Oryctolagus cuniculus: one gene and its partners. The protein of the gene in region 2 purifies or fractionates together with the protein of the main gene of each other region. This does not show direct contact. Links are inferred from orthologs where the notes say so. Each region holds a gene or a part of one and is shown on either strand. Other genes may lie near its edges.

Region 1 (3,286 bases), on a different chromosome or scaffold from region 2:
AGGTGGAGGATTAGCCTATTGAGCCACGGCGCCGGCTATAAGATGATGACCATGTTTCTATGTTTCTGTGTGCAACACATCCTTAAGCATCTTCTTCAGGGCTGGACAGGTGGTAACAAGTTCTTTTAATTTCTATTTGTCTTGGAAAGTCTGTATTTCACCTTCATTTATAAATGAGAGCTATGAAAGGCATAGTATTCTGGTCTTAAGACTTGGAATATATCTCATCATTCTCTCCTAGTCTGTAAGGTTTCTGATGAGAAGTCTGCTATGAGTCTAATTGGAGATCCTCTGACAGTAATCTGGCATTTTTCTCATGTACATTTTAGAATCTTTTCTTCACGTTTTAACTGTGGTGAGTTTTATTACAATGTGTCGTGGTGAAGATATTTTCTGGTCATGTCTATCAGGATTTTTATGTGCTTCCTATACTTGGATGTCCCTTTCTTTCTCCAAATTAGGCACTAAAAAGGGCTTCTAACCCTTTCTCTCTTTCCACAACTTCAGAACTCCTAGAAATTTTATGGTGGGCCATTTGATAGTACCCTGTAGAATCCCAACAGTGTTTTTTTGTTTGTTTTCTAATTTCTTCTTGTGTTTAGCCTGACTGTATAATATCCTGTGCTTTGTCTTCTATGTCAGATATTCTTTCTTCTGCTTCACCGATTCTGTTGTTAAGGCTTCCCACTGCATTTTTTATTTGTTACACTGAATTCTTCATTTCCAAGATTTCATTTTGATTTCTCTTTAAGATCTCAATTTCATGGCAGAAATTATCTTTCCTGTCATGTATGAATTTCATTAGCTCATGCATTTGCTTCTGCTTACTTCTAAGTAATCCTATGAACAATTTTTTGAATTTCATTTCTGGCATTTCTTCAATTTCATCATCTTCACAATCTAGTACTTTACTGTTGTGTTCTTTTGGGGGTATCATGTTGTCTTCATTATTCTTATTTCTTGAATTGGTGTGTTTGTTATTTGGCATTTGTGGAGATACACCTTGGCTCCTTTGTTTTTTCACTGTGTTGGCTTTTATCTTTGGACTATGTCTGTGTGGATTAGTGGACTGTCTGCTTTCAGGGAATACCTAGAAGCATATGCTGGGTGTGGCCAAGAAGCTCTGTTCATTGCTCCCTGGTGAACGGCGTACCTGATATGACACACCCAGGTTTAGCATGGTAAATCTCCTCTTTTTTTTTATCAGAGTGTGTGGGGAGCAACTGGGAGCAACTCGGACTAGACTAAGTTACTGGAATTAAGACTTATTTTGGGGCCGGGGAAATGGCGGCTTCAGGAGAGAGTGGGGTTTCGGCCGGTGGAGGCAGCACAGAGGAAGCTTTTATGACCTTCTACAGTGAGGTGAAACAAACAGAGAAGAGAGATTCAGTTCTTACGTCCAAAAATCAGATTGAAAGGTTGACACGTCCTGGTTCCTCTTACTTCAATTTGAATCCATTTGAGGTTCTTCAGATAGATCCTGAAGTGACAGATGAAGAAATAAAAAAGAGATTTCGGCAGTTATCCATATTGGTGCATCCTGACAAAAATCAAGATGATGCTGACAGAGCACAAAAGGCTTCTGAAGCTGTGGACAAAGCTTACAAGTTGCTACTGGATCAGGAGCAAAAGAAGAGGACCCTGGATGTAATTCAGGCAGGAAAAGAATACGTGGAACACACTGTGAAAGAACGAAAAAAACAGTTAAAGAAGGAAGGAAAACCTACAAATGTAGAGGAGGATGATCCTGAGCTGTTCAAACAAGCAGTATATAAACAGACCATGAAACTCTTTGCTGAGCTGGAAATTAAAAGGAAAGAAAGAGAAGCCAAAGAGATGCATGAAAGGAAACGACAGCAGGAAGAAGAGATTGAAGCTCAAGAAAAAGCCAAACGCAAGCGGGAGTGGCAGAAAAACTTCGAGGAAAGTCGAGATGGGCGCGTGGACAGCTGGCGGAACTTCCAAGCAAATACAAAGGGGAAGAAAGAGAAGAAGAACTGGACCTTCCTGAGACCACCGAAAGTAAAAATGGAGCAGCGTGAGTGACCGCCCGGGGTCACAGCACGGAACCTTCCCCCAGCCGTCTCCCTCCCTGCTTTGAAGGACTCATTCTTTCCTCCACTTCCACCCCAACATAGAGTAGTATTTGCTTTTTAGTTCATTTTGTTTTCAATACAATTTAATATCGATCAGAGTAATTCTTTTGTACATTGAAATGAGGGGCTCAGTTTAAACAAAGACCTTCTCTCCCACCCCCACCCTAGAACAACCAGGACTGGAAGGTGCCACCCTGGGTGCTACCTTCTCCCCCACAGCCTGTAACTTAATGTTTTGTACTTCACTGCGTGTGATGGATGTGATGGTTAGAAACCTGTGTGTAGTTTGTGGAGATCATCCCATTAAACATCTTGCTTACAGTGGTGTCGCCGTGACTTCAGAGACGAGCCTGGGCCACCACAGGAAGCCCCCTTGCTTCAGTCGCTTGCTTCTGGGTGTGCCATCCTCCGAAGCCCAGGTCACAGGAAGGCAGAGTGGGCAGAGAGAGCAGTTACACTCATGCCCTGATGCCCCCTACCCCCGCCTGGTGTTTGGCACCTGTCCTCCCGTCTGCCCGACCAATCAGTGCAGCATGACACTAAGCCACCTAAACCTGTTCACTTTCCAAAGAGCTAGCCAGCCTCCATCCAGTTCCATCGTCTCCTAGCCTGTCTGCATTCGTTAGTGGTAAGAATCTTTATGTATAATAGTTTTCTACTGAGATCGTTAAAAAAAAAAAAAGAAAGAAAGACTTATTTTATGCATCTGCTCTCCCACAATATGGCGCTGGGAGAGGAGGAAACAGCTTCTACACAGCTGCCTCCAGTTCAACCAATAAACAGCAGGACCTGCTCCTGATTGGAGGGGAGCAGCGTACTCGGCGTGTGGGTAGCAGAGTTGGGATTGGTGGAAGAGGACTATAAAGGAGGAGAGAGACAACATGCACCAGGAACATCTATCTGAAGGAACACCTGTGCAGCCCCCAAGAGAGCCGGCCAGCGGTGTGCCGCTCCCCCGCGGAAGTGGGGAAAGTGGCAGGGGGAACCGCCCTTCCACGGAGGTGGAAGGGACGGTAGCCAACCCGGGAAGAACCAGCAGCAAACCCGGGGAGGGCCGAGCAGACAAAAGAACAGCGCAGGGTCCTGTGTCATTCCTCCACAAAGACGGGGAGCGACAAGAGTGGATATTTCTTTTTGTCTGTTGGCATAGACTCAGCTGAGCTCCTCTCCTCAAATGAGACCAGTGCCTG
Region 2 (4,755 bases):
TTATCCTGCATGTTGGGCACCTGGACTTTGATGGACACTGGACCCTGCAAAACAGAAGGGGATCATTATGCCTGGGGACCCCTGAGCCAATCAGGAACTATGTTCTGCCATCCTGAGGGCACCTGGCTCTGGCCTGATTCTCTACTGACACACTTGTCATATTGTACAAGTCACACTCCCATATCAAGATGTGCTTTCTGTTTTCAAGTCCTCCTGCGAGTCTAGAGCTGAAATGAAGAGGTTGGGTAAAAATGCTCTGTGACACCCAAGAAGCACAAGTGTAAAAAAAAGTGGCCTGTAAAATCCAGACCTGATTCCCAACTCGGCTCATAAGGTCTCAGCCTGCCTGTACAACAGAGCTGATCAGAGCGACAGCAGAGCCCTGCGGTGAGCCCCACACGGAAAAGTGTCCCAAGGTGAGCTCCACCCTTGCACTTCGCTAAGTGCCCAAAACAGGACTCTCTTAAGAACGAAAACAGAAGATTTGGTCAAACGCACTGAGCCGTCAGGGGCTGCGGCTGTTTCTCGCCTCCTCACTGGAGCCCAGCAGCTTCCCTGGGGTGCAGCAGCACCACGGTTCCCACCTTCCTTTACTCTAGCACCCCAGCAAGGGCGAGGACTGCAGGAAAGGCCACACTGAGTTCATGAACCACACCCGGGCTTGCTTCAGGTGTCCAGGGCCCTCTCACCGAGCTGTGCCCCTGTGCAGTGGCTCTCCCTATGGCCTCCAGAGATGCCACACCAGGGGACCACCAACACTGTCACACTCAGCTCCTCTAGGTGTTAACCCACATTTACTGGGCGTCCCATCAGTCAAAAGCTTCCAGTGGCTAACCCAGACCCTGGAGGCCACCACCACGGGAGTGGAATGAGGTCAGCCGGGCACCATGTGACTAGGGTGAGACTGCAGCCCCTCCCCTAGACACCCCAGGCCACAGGTAGCACCCAGGGGTCACATACCTTGTTCCTGCGCAGGAACTCCTCCTCGGACATGAGACTGTCCTCTGTCTTGAGTTTCTTGGAGGCAGGCTCATCCTCCATGGGAGGTGGAGGGTGAACAGGGGGCATTGGGGCTGGAGCTGGGACAGGGGCCACAGGTGGCGCAGGCACAAAGGCTGCAAGGACAGGAACAGACAGACCCGTGAGTGGGGGCAAGGGGCCCAGACTCAGGGCTAGTGAGGATGTGAGGTCTTTTGGCCTATCAGGTGTGAGGTGCCACTCTCCACTGAGTCTGGCAGCCAGCAGGTTCCCTGGCAGAGGGCCCAGGGAGGCTGCCCAGACTGTGCAGCGAGGCACTGGAGGAAGGGCAGGACCGATGGATGGAGCAGGCGCCTGCCTGGGGCCTGACCCAGGTGCACAGGCACAATTCAGTCTATCTCCCCCAGGAGCTGCGGCCCCTACTGCTCCACTGGGCCGCACACCCAGCTGAAGAGCTGGCACTACTCCCAGCAGCCACTGCTCTGCAGACAATGCTTGGCCTGCAGCCCAACCCGATGGCCACGAGAGCGACACAACACACTGACCTGTTGGCACGATCATGGGTGGTGGCCGGGGTGCCATGATAGGAGGTGCTGAGGGAGGCATGGGCACCACATTGATCCTGGGTGCGTGGATGATGGGTGGCATGGGCGCAATCACCGAGCCCGGGGGCAGCCGGACCACGGATGCCATCGGGGGCCGGGGCATGACAGGTACCGCAGACACAACTGTAGTACGGACGGGAGGTGGCATCTGCAAGAAGGAAGAGACCCAGAGGTCACAGGAAGCCAAGATTGGGCCCCAAGGGCACGTGCAGCTGGCAGTGAGCCACCTGGAGCTCTGAGAATGGGCGCTGGACAGCTCCGATTCTGCCCCGCGTGGCCCAGAGACTGCAGTCTCACACTGGGCATCTGAGAGAAACTCTGCAACGACAGAACCAGGGCCACTTTCTCCACACGGGACTCAGACGATTGGAGTCCATCACTGACCCTGACTCAGCCTCCTGGAGGCCAGCAGGCCTGAGACGCAGGAAGCCCTGAGGCCCGTCCACCTCAGATCTGCTCCTCACCTGCCACTTGCTCCCTGCCCGTTCCAATCCTCCCCTGTGGATGGAAGACTGGCTTCGAGGTGCTCCATTTAAAGGGTTCTTTTTAACTTGACTCACGAGCACTCAGAATTGCTGTTAAAGAGCAGCCACGCTCAGTCAGCAGAATTCAACCCCGGGGACTGAACTCTTTAGTCAATTACAGGGGCCGGCACTGTGGCATAGCAGGTAAAGCCACCGCCTGCGGTGCCGGCATCCCATGTGGGCGCTGGTTTGAGTCCTTGCGCTCCACTTCCCATCCAGCTCTCTGCTGTGGCCTGGGAAGGCAGTAGAAGATAACCCAAGTCCTTGGGCCCCTGCACCCACGTGGGAGATCTGGAAGAAGCTCCTGGCTCCTGATCGGTGCATTCTGGCCGTTGCAGCCAACTGGGGAGTGAACCAGAGGATGAAGACCTCTCTCTCTCTCTGCCTTTCAAATAAATAAATTAAATAAATCCTAAAGTGAGTCACAGGCTGGCTGCTGGCTTACCGCGGGTGGGCGAGGCACTGAAGTGATGGGTGGGGCTGAGCTGGGGATGTTTGTGGCTGAAGACGGAGGTGGCGGCTGCTGGGGGATTTCATTGGGCTTGCTGGGGCCAATCTTCTCTTTGGTGTCGTCCTCTGGCACCAGGCCCTTGGCCTTGTGGATGGCCTCAATCTGCTCCTGGAGGGTGATGTTGGCCTGCGCGGCCTGCTGAGTGCGGGCCATGCTGCCCGAGTGGCCATCCCAGGTCACCTGCCAGGGAGAGCAACGCCAGAGATTGTCAGGACTCCTGGGACTTAAGCCCGGACGGGGCAGGCCAGGGCAGGGAGGGCACCAGGATCCCCTGCAGCCGCACCTTCTCCTCCGGCTTCTGGATCTCCTCCTCGCCGATCTTCTTCCCGATGGCCGTTTCCTCAACACCGAAGATGTCAGTTCGCCGCTCAGCCAGCTGCTTCAAGCTGCTCTCAATATCCAGACCTGCACGCAGTCACACATGGGGGCAGGCAGCAGGGATGAGAACTAAACTCAGTGCCTGCTGACAAGGCAGCAACTTGCCTCGTGCGCAGGGCAGAGGCGGCAGACTCTGGGCCCCAGCACAGCACTCCCATGCGCTGGGGAAGGCTGTCCAGTCGGCCCTACGCCTCAACACCCAGCGCCAGCGCCTGTCCGATCCCTGGCTCACACGGGAAGGTGGGCCAGAGAAAGCAGCTGTGAGGACAGGATGCCAAGACGACTGAGCAGCAGTCAGGACGAAAAGCCTGGTCCCTTGCTGGCACAACACCCTCCCTACGGTGCTGCAGGCGCCAGCCCACCAGGTTTCACCCCAAGGAGCTCGGTGTCCCAGCCATCAGCGTCCTCATGCTAGGGCAGCATGGGAAGGGAGCACCCCTCCTAGCCGTAAGGGGCCCATCATCTATACCAGCGCCTGCCTCTGGAACATTCCGAGAGAGAGCTCCTGTGTAACACAGAAGGCTTCATCCACCCTCAAAAGCTGCTGGTAGCCGTAATCACTGCTTCCTGTTTGCTTAAAGCAACGCAACTGCGACCCGCAGACTGCCACGGGCTGGGCAGGGCCCCAGCTCACCTGGCGCATACACCTCATCGTCGCTCTGCTTCTCGCGGATGGAGCGGTCCCGCTGCTCCAGCCAACGGGGGTCAAGGAGCCCGATGCGCATGTGTTCCTGCATCTTGCTGGCAGGGATCTTCTCCCCCGTGATGGGAGACACGAGATACTCATCCGGGGCAGGGGCCGGAGGCAGGGGCTTGGAAGCTAAAAGGAAAAGACTTCTGAGAACACCGCAGGGGTGTGTGTGTGTGTGTGTGTGTGTGGCCTGGTGAAGAGGTGGCATTTCATTCATGCATCATTCAAGTGAGACACATCCACTCAGTGCCACCCTCGAGCCTGGCACCAGGGCACCAAAAGTGATGAGGCCTGTTCTAGAGAAGGCGATCAGTGCTTGTACAAGGCTGCCTTGAGACCTCCCGGTCTATGGAATGAGCAGGGCACACAGGTCTGGGAGCAGCCATACCTTTGGGATCATAGTCTTTGCGGACGATGACTTGGTCTGGAGTTGGGGGCAGAGGTGGAGGCATGGGCGTCTCTGGAGGTGGGGGCACTTTTTGCCCTTCTTCTTCATCATCTGAACCCTGAAATGCAAAGCCATGGTAGGTCTCAGAGAGGGCACAGAGCCACCTCCCTGTGGCTAAGCCCCGGAAGCCGAGGATAGCAAAGAGTCTTGGCCCCCGCCAGGCCATGTCCACGTGCTAAGCCTCGCAGGGCAGCCGAGGCCAGCCGGCAGCAGGCCAAGCTGCTTCCTCACAGCATGAATGGGAGCGCTGGGGGCCATGCGCTAACACTCCTCCCAGGCACTTCCAGCAGTTGGCACCAGGCAGTCCCAAGAGGCCAAGGGCACTTAACACACTGGGGAGGGGTGTCGGGCGTGAGTCAGTACTCAATGCAGCCGCTCACAGGGCAATGCTGGGAGGGAGCGAAAAAGTCAATTCCCACAGACACAGGGGCCCTTTCTTCTCGGGCTGCACACAAATTCTTTTTGGAGGGGGGAGAGCAGGGTAGCTCTGGAGACTATGCTGCTCGGAAGGCCTGGGCTGCACGGGCAGGGCCGTCTGGAAGGAGTGCACACCACGTTTAGAACAGCTCTGGAACTGCTGATCATCCGGGGCTGGCTAAATGCACCCGCATGGGGCGGTG
Region 3 (4,001 bases), on a different chromosome or scaffold from region 2:
CCCTGTACCGGACGGGGAACCCGGGGCCCGCGGCCGTGCACGCTCAGACCTCTCTGGTTGCCTGCTGGGCGCGGCACCCCCCACTCAACGGAAGGAGCTACTGCTCCCATGGGGAATTGAGCCCCTCTCCCCCACTTCTTCTTCTTCTTCTTTTTAAAGATTTGTTTATTGGAAAGGCAGGGTTACAGAGAGAGAGGAGAGGTCTTCCATCCGCTGGGTCACTCCCCAATTGGCCACATCGGCCGGAGCTGCGCCGACCCAAAGCCAGGACCCAGGAGCTTCTTCCAGGTCTCCCACGCGGGTGCAGGGACCCAAGCACTTGGGCCATCTTCCTCCACTGCTTCCCCAGGCACATCAGCAGGGAGCTGGATCGGAGGAGGAGAACTGGAACCAGCGCCCACATGGGACGCGGCACTGCCGGTGGCACTGCAGGCAGCGGCGTTCCCGGGGCTCCGCCGCAGCGCGGCCCCTCCTACGTGTGACCAGCGCTTCGACAGCACAGGAGGACCCAGTTCTAGAGTGGTCTGCGGAGCTCGTTTTCGGAACCCAGCACAGACGTGTGTTTCTTCTGCGCTGACCCATCGGTGTCCCTCGCGCAGCCTCTGACACGCTGCCCACACGCGTGACGCTCGCTCATCTGCAGACTACAGTGACGACCTCACGGACCGTCAACACAGGACATCACTGTCTGGCATTCTAGACTTGTCTCACGTTCAAACATTTGTCAAAGCAACACGAGTCCAATAAAGAAAACCCAGGGAGCCAACCGCACTGAGCCCACAGGAGGCACTGCTTGAGTCACCCCCTAGGGGACGGCCGCTGGGCGCTGACCAAGCGACCCGGGCGCAGACGGCTCTGCCCGACTCCTGCGCGAGCCGTGAACGGACCCAGGCACCTGTCGTCATCCGAGGCAGCCCAGCTCCGCCATGCAGCCCCACGGGGACCTGCCAGAGGGGAGCACCACTCCCCAGACTAACACGTCTTGCCTGGGTACGCAGAGCACTGCTCCCTGACCTGTCCCTGCCCCCGCGCTGCCCCGCGGCTCCTGTGTGCAAAGGCTGCCGCGAGACCCTACCCCACAGGGCGCGGGCAGGGCCAAGGCCCACTTCCGTGTTCCCCGGGCTCACATCCAGACCGGGACACCTGTCAGACAGAAAGGGGCTCTGTGGGCGCTCAGCGCCCTCGACACACGGCCCCCAAGGAGGCCCCGACCGGCTTCCCGGGGAAGAAGCCGTAGGGTCTCCACGGACCCTCCTGGGACTGTGCTGCCCAAGCAGAGGCTCCCGCCAGCCAGCCGCCACCAGCAGCCCACGCCACACCTTGCTGGCGACGGGAGATGGCCGAGTCCCCGGTCCTTGACTCTGGGCATCAGTGTCCTGTTTTGAGACGAACGCGGCTTGGCCGATACCCCAGCGCGCGCCCCACAGCCTGCGAGGTGCAAAGCACCCGGCGGTCTCCCGGCAGGCCCTGCGCGCTCCAGTGCTCTGCTCCAGGGCAGCGAGCCGGCCTCTGCAGACACCCCAGCAGCAGGAAGGGCCGGGAAGTGCCCGCGCGTGGACAGCACCTTCCTCCTCACCCGCGCGCCGGGGCCTGGGGGTCTTCCTCCCTCCAAGTCAGAAGCTGCAGCGCACCCGTCCACAGCCTGGGCGGAGCGAGCCTGCCCTGCTCGGGCGGCCAGCAGTCCCCACCGCACAGGTCCAGCGGGCTCTGGCGACCGAGGACAGCCGGGCCGAGCCCTGAACGGAGCCGCCCATCTGAACCGCTGCCTCGCGTTCTGACCGACGACCCCACGCAGGCACGGGGCCTACAGGACGGGGGCCGGTGTCGGACGCCAGGGCCACCGACACCGGCCTGCTGCCCGGGGCAGGGCCACGGCGCGCCCGTCTGCTCTGGGGAGAACCCACGAAGCCGCCTCTGCAGCGTGGGGCATTTCCCACGGAGACTGTGGGGCGCGAGCGTGCTGGGACGCGCTCAGACGACAAGCGTCAGGGCAGGCTGCGAGCCGCCTCCACCGGGGCTGGGAGGCGGGAATCAGCCAGGTCCCGGCCGAGCTCTGCGAACGCGGACCTCGGCACCGGGAAAGCGACGGATCAGAGTCCCGCACCCCGACGGGACCCCCGCACTTGCGAAGCCAAACTCTCCGTCTGTCCAAACGGGTCCGGAGGCCGACGGCCCTGGAGGAGCCGGCTCCGCGAGTCAGGAATCGGGCTCCCGCCAGGGCACGGCCGCAGGTCGTGAGGGCTGAGGTCCCCCCCAGCGCCAGCGGCCCCGGGGCCCCGAAGCCGCGGGACCGAGTTCCACGGGCTCCGCCGGGCTCCAAGTTCTCCGAGCGCCCACGGGCGAGCCGCGCCGGCCACTCCGGGCGGGCCCGCGCGCTCCTCGCGCCGCGCGCCGCAAGCATGTGCCGCGCGAGTGGCCCGGAAGAGAAATGACAGCTTCGGCGAAACGCACACCGCGGCGCGGCCCGGCCCGCGCCGCCCCGGCACCCACTTCCCGGCCGAGAGCCACGCCGCGGCCGCGGCTGCGCACCGCCGGGCCCCGGGCCTCGCTCCCGCCGCCGCGGCCTGCCCGCCGCCCGCCGGCCGCTTACCTCAGCGCGAGGGCGGGGAGGAGGCCACGGCGCCGCTGGAGTCGGGGCGGCGCGGAGAAGACGCTGCTTGGCCCTTCCGCTTCTCACAGGCTCCGGCTTTCGGGGCGGCGCGGGCGGAACAAACGGGCTCCACTACCCGCGGAGTACGGCCATTGTGCGACGTCATCGGGCCGCGACCGCCGTCCGGCCGGCCGGCGGGCTTCCCTCTCTGGCCCCGCCCCCCGCCGCTTCCTTCCGGCCTCGACGCGGGCGCCTCGGCGCGGCCCCGCGCGGCGCGCTCCCGCCGAGCCTCCCACTGCGCAAGCGCAGCCTGGCGCCCCGCCCCTCCGGGGGCGGACCCGGGCCCGCGCTGTCCGACGGCGCCCGCGAGGGGGCTCCCCGCGCCGCCCGTTCCCGCAGGGGCGCCGGGTGCGGTGCGTGGGTGCGGCTCGAGGCGTGCTGGAGGTTCGTCACGAAGCTTAAAGATCTTTTTTATTTGAAAGGCGGAAGGAGTTCCCGGCCCCCGGCCTCCCGAGCGCGCGCAGCCACCGGGAGCCACGCCTCCCTCCGGGCGTCCCGCAGGGAGGCGGGGGCTTGTGAGGCAAATCGGCTTTTCCCCAGAGGGAGCGGATGGCGGGGCTTGCCCCCGGTCCGAGACTTTCCAGGACTCCCCACGATTATTGAGTTGGCCAGTTTCTGCCAGTTTTTCTGACTCCCTCCGCCACGTCGCCTGCTAGGTTTGCCACGCCCCCATCCGACTGAGCCTATGAGCAGCGGTGTGGGCTTGTGCCTCCACCAATCAGGACGAGGGGGCGTGGCCACCGCGACGACATAAAAGGGATCGGCCTGCGGGCGGCTCCCCGGGGTCCTCGCCGGCCACACTGTGCGGCCGGGGGTCTCTATGAGGCTCGGTCCGGGATCCCCGCCCTCGGGTGCGCGCCGAGCCGCCCCCTCGCTGGGAGACGCGGGTCTGCCCTGCGGCTGCCTCGGATCCGGGTCTTCCCGGGACTGAAATCCCAGCCGCGCGGGCTGGGCCCCGGCCCGGGCCAGGACGCCGTCGTGTGACGCGGCCCCGGGTGGTCGGCACGTCCCGGAGGCGGCTGGAAGGAACGGGCCTGCGCGGCGCCCGAGATGGAGAGGCGCTCGGGCCTCCGGGCCGCCTCGCTGACCACGCCCAGCAGCACGGCGACGAGGGTCCCGACAGAAACGCGAGACGCCCCCGGGAGTCGGCCCGACGACGAGCCGCAGCCGGTGAGGACTGGGTCTGGCAGCTGCCAATCCGGCGTGAGTGACAGGACGCCCTCCCGCTGAAGGCTCCGCTGCTCGGACGGGAAGTGCCACAGCGTTAGGGGTGTCCGGAACCGCCGACCAGAGTGAGGCCAGAAAGTGCTCCCCCTGCTGCGGTCCCCGGGGTGGGTCCTGGGTTGGGTAA
Region 4 (4,087 bases), on a different chromosome or scaffold from region 2:
AAGAAATTGTTCCTCAAAAAAATCTTTTTCTTATTGCCTGGCACCATGATATTCACAGACCTAGCTTTAATATTCTGAAGAGGGTCCTGCTCATGTTAAAATTATCCCGGTATTTTCTGTTTTTAAAAATAACATGATTCCAACTTCATCCCAAATCTAGAATTTGAACTTGAAAATATTCAACTCACCTTAATTATGCTCAGATAAGCTATTTCAGAATCCCAAATCTGGACCCCTTTTCAGATAAGTTTAATTTGTTTCCAGTCCTAATATTCCTAAAATATTAATACCTTTAATAGACAATGGGTTGATAAAGAGAGGAAAAGGATTCTTTAGATAGAATACAGATTCAAGTTTTGTACTGAATCAGTAAAGTGAGTTATCTAATTACAACACCCTTGGAACTTTTTAAAACTCAGGTTTAGAATTTTAAGGAAGGCTGTAAAACACAATAGTTGTACAGTACAGTATTGACAGATTATCTATGATATTTTTCTTAACTTATTATATGGAGAATCAGATGCAATCATGGTTTTGTGTCTGTCTTGAGATCCTAGTGCCAGTATAAATCTACTGAACTGTCCTGCAACAAATAAAGATCGCCTTCCACATCAGCTTCAACAAGTTATCAACAACTACACAGAGAACACTGGTCTCAGGCATTTTAATATGTAAATAAAGGTGTACATCGCCTTGAAAAAAAAAAAGCATACATTTCATTTTCAAATAATCTTGTGTCATTACAGAGACTCTTATGATTTTATTCTTTAATATTAGTTACCTTTTGAACTATGTCGTTAGCAGGTATGAAAAATAAAAGCTCTTCCCTTGTAAAGTTATAGAAGAGGTATTTAAGAAGCTCATAAAAATGCTATTAGGAAAAATTATGCATGTATTTAAAACATTTTTGCACCAAAGTAAGCATCTTTTAATTCCATTTTCTATGAACTTTCTGAAATACTCTTGTATGTACTTCTCTGAAAAGTTTGAAAGATATTTTCAAAATCAACTCTTATTTTTAAAAATTAAAGGAGCACAAGATTTATATAACAAAGAACACTCCACTAGTTTGATGCCTATAAACTGAGAAAGTAACCCTATTCCTAGAAGTCATGGTGTCCGTGCACATATACGTGTGGGTATCCCCCTCTGAAGGGTATGTCGCGTTACCTATGGTTTCTAAGCAACGAATCACGTGAAAAACACAGAAATATGCTTTTCAAGCAATGCTAACTACAACTGGCCACCCATACTTACTTGTAAATCTTTCTTCAGTTTTAGCAAATCTTCATTTTCTCCATTTCCAGACAATGCAGCTTCCACTTGCTGGAGTTGAGCTTTGTAGCTTGCCAGCTGCTTTGCTAGATCCTCGGACATCTGAGGGGAAATATAAAAGGGTCACACTATAAAAATTAAACCAAAACTCCAACCATAAGGAAGAATTTCTCTACCTCCCTGAATTAACCAGTTTTGCTTCTAACTCCTTATTAATGCTGCACCTTCATTTACCACCATTACGTAGTCTTGGTCGAAACAACCTAAAGTACAAGGATCAAGGCGATAGATTCTGAAAACTACAACCGTGGGAGATGAATTCCATATAAAAAAAAAAAAAGCAGAAAAAGCAATAAAGAGGGAAAGGGACATTCCAATTTTCTTTAAACTCTGAAAGGCACTCTTCTGGGTTCAATGGTAAGGTTGTTACACCTTTAAAACGCATGAATCTGTGGGAAAAATCCATAAACTGTCAGAAAAAAGTTTCTGGGCATGAAAGAATGCTTCCAAGGCCACGTGAAAAGGGTTCTGAGTTACACAACTCACTCCCTCTCCGCGAACTATTCCACAGAGCGCCTTACCAAATTCTTTCCCCGAACTCTTTCACCCACTTAAGTACGTGTCTATGCACTTCTTCAGTAACAGAAAACAGCTCAAACACGGTTTATTTACGTACTGTAAGGAACGCGCCTTCCGCCAAACACAGCTCGTTCTCCCCCGAAAGACGCGAACTCACCTTTCCTCGAAGATTTCTAAGCAAACATTCAGGGTGTCCAAGAGCCCTGCACTTTCTCAAAACTCCCGTCCAAGCAAGCCCGGGACCCGGAAAGACCCCACAGGCTTGTTGAAGCAAGCCAGGCGGCTCTCCCCCCAGGAGCCAGCACCCCGAAACCCCCCCAAGCTCGGCCGATCGTGTCACCTCTCAAAATTCCAACAACAAATCAGCCGCCAAGGAAACCGCCAGAGGCTCTGGGCGCCGTCGGCGTCCCAGTCGCACCCAGGCCCCACGCCGGCCGGGGCGGCTCGAGGCTCCACTCGGCGTCGGAGGCAGTGGCTCTGAACACGCTCGCCGGCGCCCAGACCTCCGCGGCGAAGCCAGCTCCTCGGCCTCGGGCCTCCGCTTCCACTCGGGAGAGGCCGAGGCCCGGCGCGGCCTAACCCTCCCGAACGGGGTTTGTTACCTTGTGTGGGGTGGGGACGGGGCGGCGGGAAGGGAAGGGGGCAAATGAGCCCAGTGATGGCGGCGACGGCGACAGGAGCAGCAGCAGTAGGAAATATCTCCGCGACGACAACAAGGCCACTCGGTGTGAAAAGGAAGAACTCAGTCCGCAGAGAGGGGGAGGGGAGGAAAGCCGGGAGCTGGAAAGAGGAAAAGACAGAGAGGCAAATGAAGTCTCGCGAGACTTAGAAACCCTCGCGAGAGGTTCCTCTACCCACGTGACTCCTCGCGCCCTCTAAGCGGTCCGCTTTATTCGCGTTAGCGTCGCCTGGTAGGCGGAGCCAAATGCAACGGAAGTGGCGTAACTGAGGTGCGCCCGGCGCAGAATATACGTTAGTCTTACCTAAGTTCCGGCTGAAGCGTAGAGTATTTGGTGTGGGGCGCGGTTGGCGCTGTTGTGAGGTTTTTACTGAGGTTCCCGGAATAGTAATCTCGTGTGTCTCCTGGGCCCGTGGTGGTGGGAGGTACGCTGCAGCCTTTACGCTGCTAATTGGCTCTCAAAGCGCGGGTCCCGAACTCGCCTCATCTACTCCTCTTGGCGTTAGAAACGCAGATTCGCCGCCCCGGGTGGCCGGAGGCTAGAAGCTGTGGGTGGGTGCAGCAGTCTGTGTTAACAAGCCCGTTAGGTGACCCAGCGTCCACTCAAGTTGAAACCACCGCTGTGTACAATACAAAAGCGAAAAACGTCTCAGTGGCAACTGAAAGCTGTTTAAATTGTGGCGGAACCTATGAGAGAAGAGGTTGGTTTATTTCGTAGCCCTATTTGTTTTTCTTTTTTTGAGATTTATTTATATTTGAAAGGCAGAGTTACAGAGAGGAAGAGGCAAAGAAGATCGATCCATCCGCTGGTTCACTCCAGATGGCCACAGCGGCCAGAGCTGGCCCACTCGGAAACCAGAATCCAGGAGCTTCCTCCAGGTCTCCCACACTGGACTGCGTTTCCCGGCCATAGCTGCATCAGAGGTGGAGCAGCCGGGACTCAGGCCCGCCCCCACACGGGATGCTGGCACTGCAGGGGGCGCTTTACCCGCTACGCCACAGCGCCAGCCGCCCTTTTGGCTTTAAATAATTAGTTTAATCTCCCCTCGGGAACAGTCTCAAGTTGTAATCACAGATGATAAGTAGAGTGATAGGAACATTTCTTTTTATTTTTAGGGGAAGTGGGGAGGGGAGAGAAGAGGGGCAAAGAAAGAGGGCAAGAGAAAGATGAAGGAAGAAGAGGAAAAGAGAGGGGAATGGGGAGAAACTGCATTTATGCTTAAAAAAGAAACTCATAGGTGCTGGCTTGTGGCCCCCTGGTTAAGCCTCTGCCTGCAGTGCCAACATCCCATTTGGGCTCCACGTTGAGTTCTGGCTGCTCTACTTCCAATCCAGCTCCCTGCTAATGGGTCTGGGAAAGTAGCAGAAAATGGCCCAAGTGCTTGGACCCCTGGACCCACAAGGGAGACCTGGATGGAGTTCCAGGAACCTGACTCAGCTTTGGCTGTTGTGGCCATCTGGGGAGTGAACCAAAGAATGAAGGATCTCCGTCTTTCTCCCTTCACTGTAACTCTACCTTTCAAATAAATAACAAAAGAAATGGGTGTGTGTATG

The links.
Region 1: the proteins of SF3A1 (region 2) and dnaJ homolog subfamily C member 8 purify together in Homo sapiens (affinity purification with mass spectrometry; 4 studies listed by BioGRID and IntAct, with this or other methods). This does not show direct contact. The link is inferred for Oryctolagus cuniculus from reciprocal best matches to the Homo sapiens genes SF3A1 and DNAJC8.
Region 3: the proteins of SF3A1 (region 2) and ZC3H18 purify together in Homo sapiens (affinity purification with mass spectrometry; 3 studies listed by BioGRID and IntAct, with this or other methods). This does not show direct contact. The link is inferred for Oryctolagus cuniculus from reciprocal best matches to the Homo sapiens genes SF3A1 and ZC3H18.
Region 4: the proteins of SF3A1 (region 2) and SMNDC1 purify together in Homo sapiens (affinity purification with mass spectrometry; 3 studies listed by BioGRID and IntAct, with this or other methods). This does not show direct contact. The link is inferred for Oryctolagus cuniculus from reciprocal best matches to the Homo sapiens genes SF3A1 and SMNDC1.

Annotation. Positions count from the first base shown.
Region 1 is NC_091439.1:132,307,648-132,310,933, reverse strand, and holds dnaJ homolog subfamily C member 8, read left to right. Parts: upstream 1-1,271; 5' UTR 1,272-1,284; coding exon 1,285-2,046; 3' UTR 2,047-2,786; downstream 2,787-3,286. UniProt on the Homo sapiens protein: Suppresses polyglutamine (polyQ) aggregation of ATXN3 in neuronal cells.
Region 2 is NC_091452.1:23,645,402-23,650,156, forward strand, and holds part of SF3A1 (splicing factor 3A subunit 1), read right to left. Parts: intron 4,194-4,755; coding exon 4,076-4,193; intron 3,817-4,075; coding exon 3,631-3,816; intron 3,024-3,630; coding exon 2,902-3,023; intron 2,799-2,901; coding exon 2,553-2,798; intron 1,732-2,552; coding exon 1,524-1,731; intron 1,116-1,523; coding exon 961-1,115; intron 45-960; coding exon 1-44. UniProt on the Homo sapiens protein: Component of the 17S U2 SnRNP complex of the spliceosome, a large ribonucleoprotein complex that removes introns from transcribed pre-mRNAs.
Region 3 is NC_091449.1:68,622,406-68,626,406, reverse strand, and holds the start of ZC3H18 (zinc finger CCCH domain-containing protein 18), read right to left. Parts: upstream 2,801-4,001; 5' UTR 2,591-2,800; intron 1-2,590.
Region 4 is NC_091446.1:19,938,295-19,942,381, reverse strand, and holds the start of SMNDC1 (survival of motor neuron-related-splicing factor 30), read right to left. Parts: upstream 2,801-4,087; 5' UTR 2,457-2,800; intron 1,378-2,456; coding exon 1,258-1,377; intron 1-1,257. UniProt on the Homo sapiens protein: Involved in spliceosome assembly.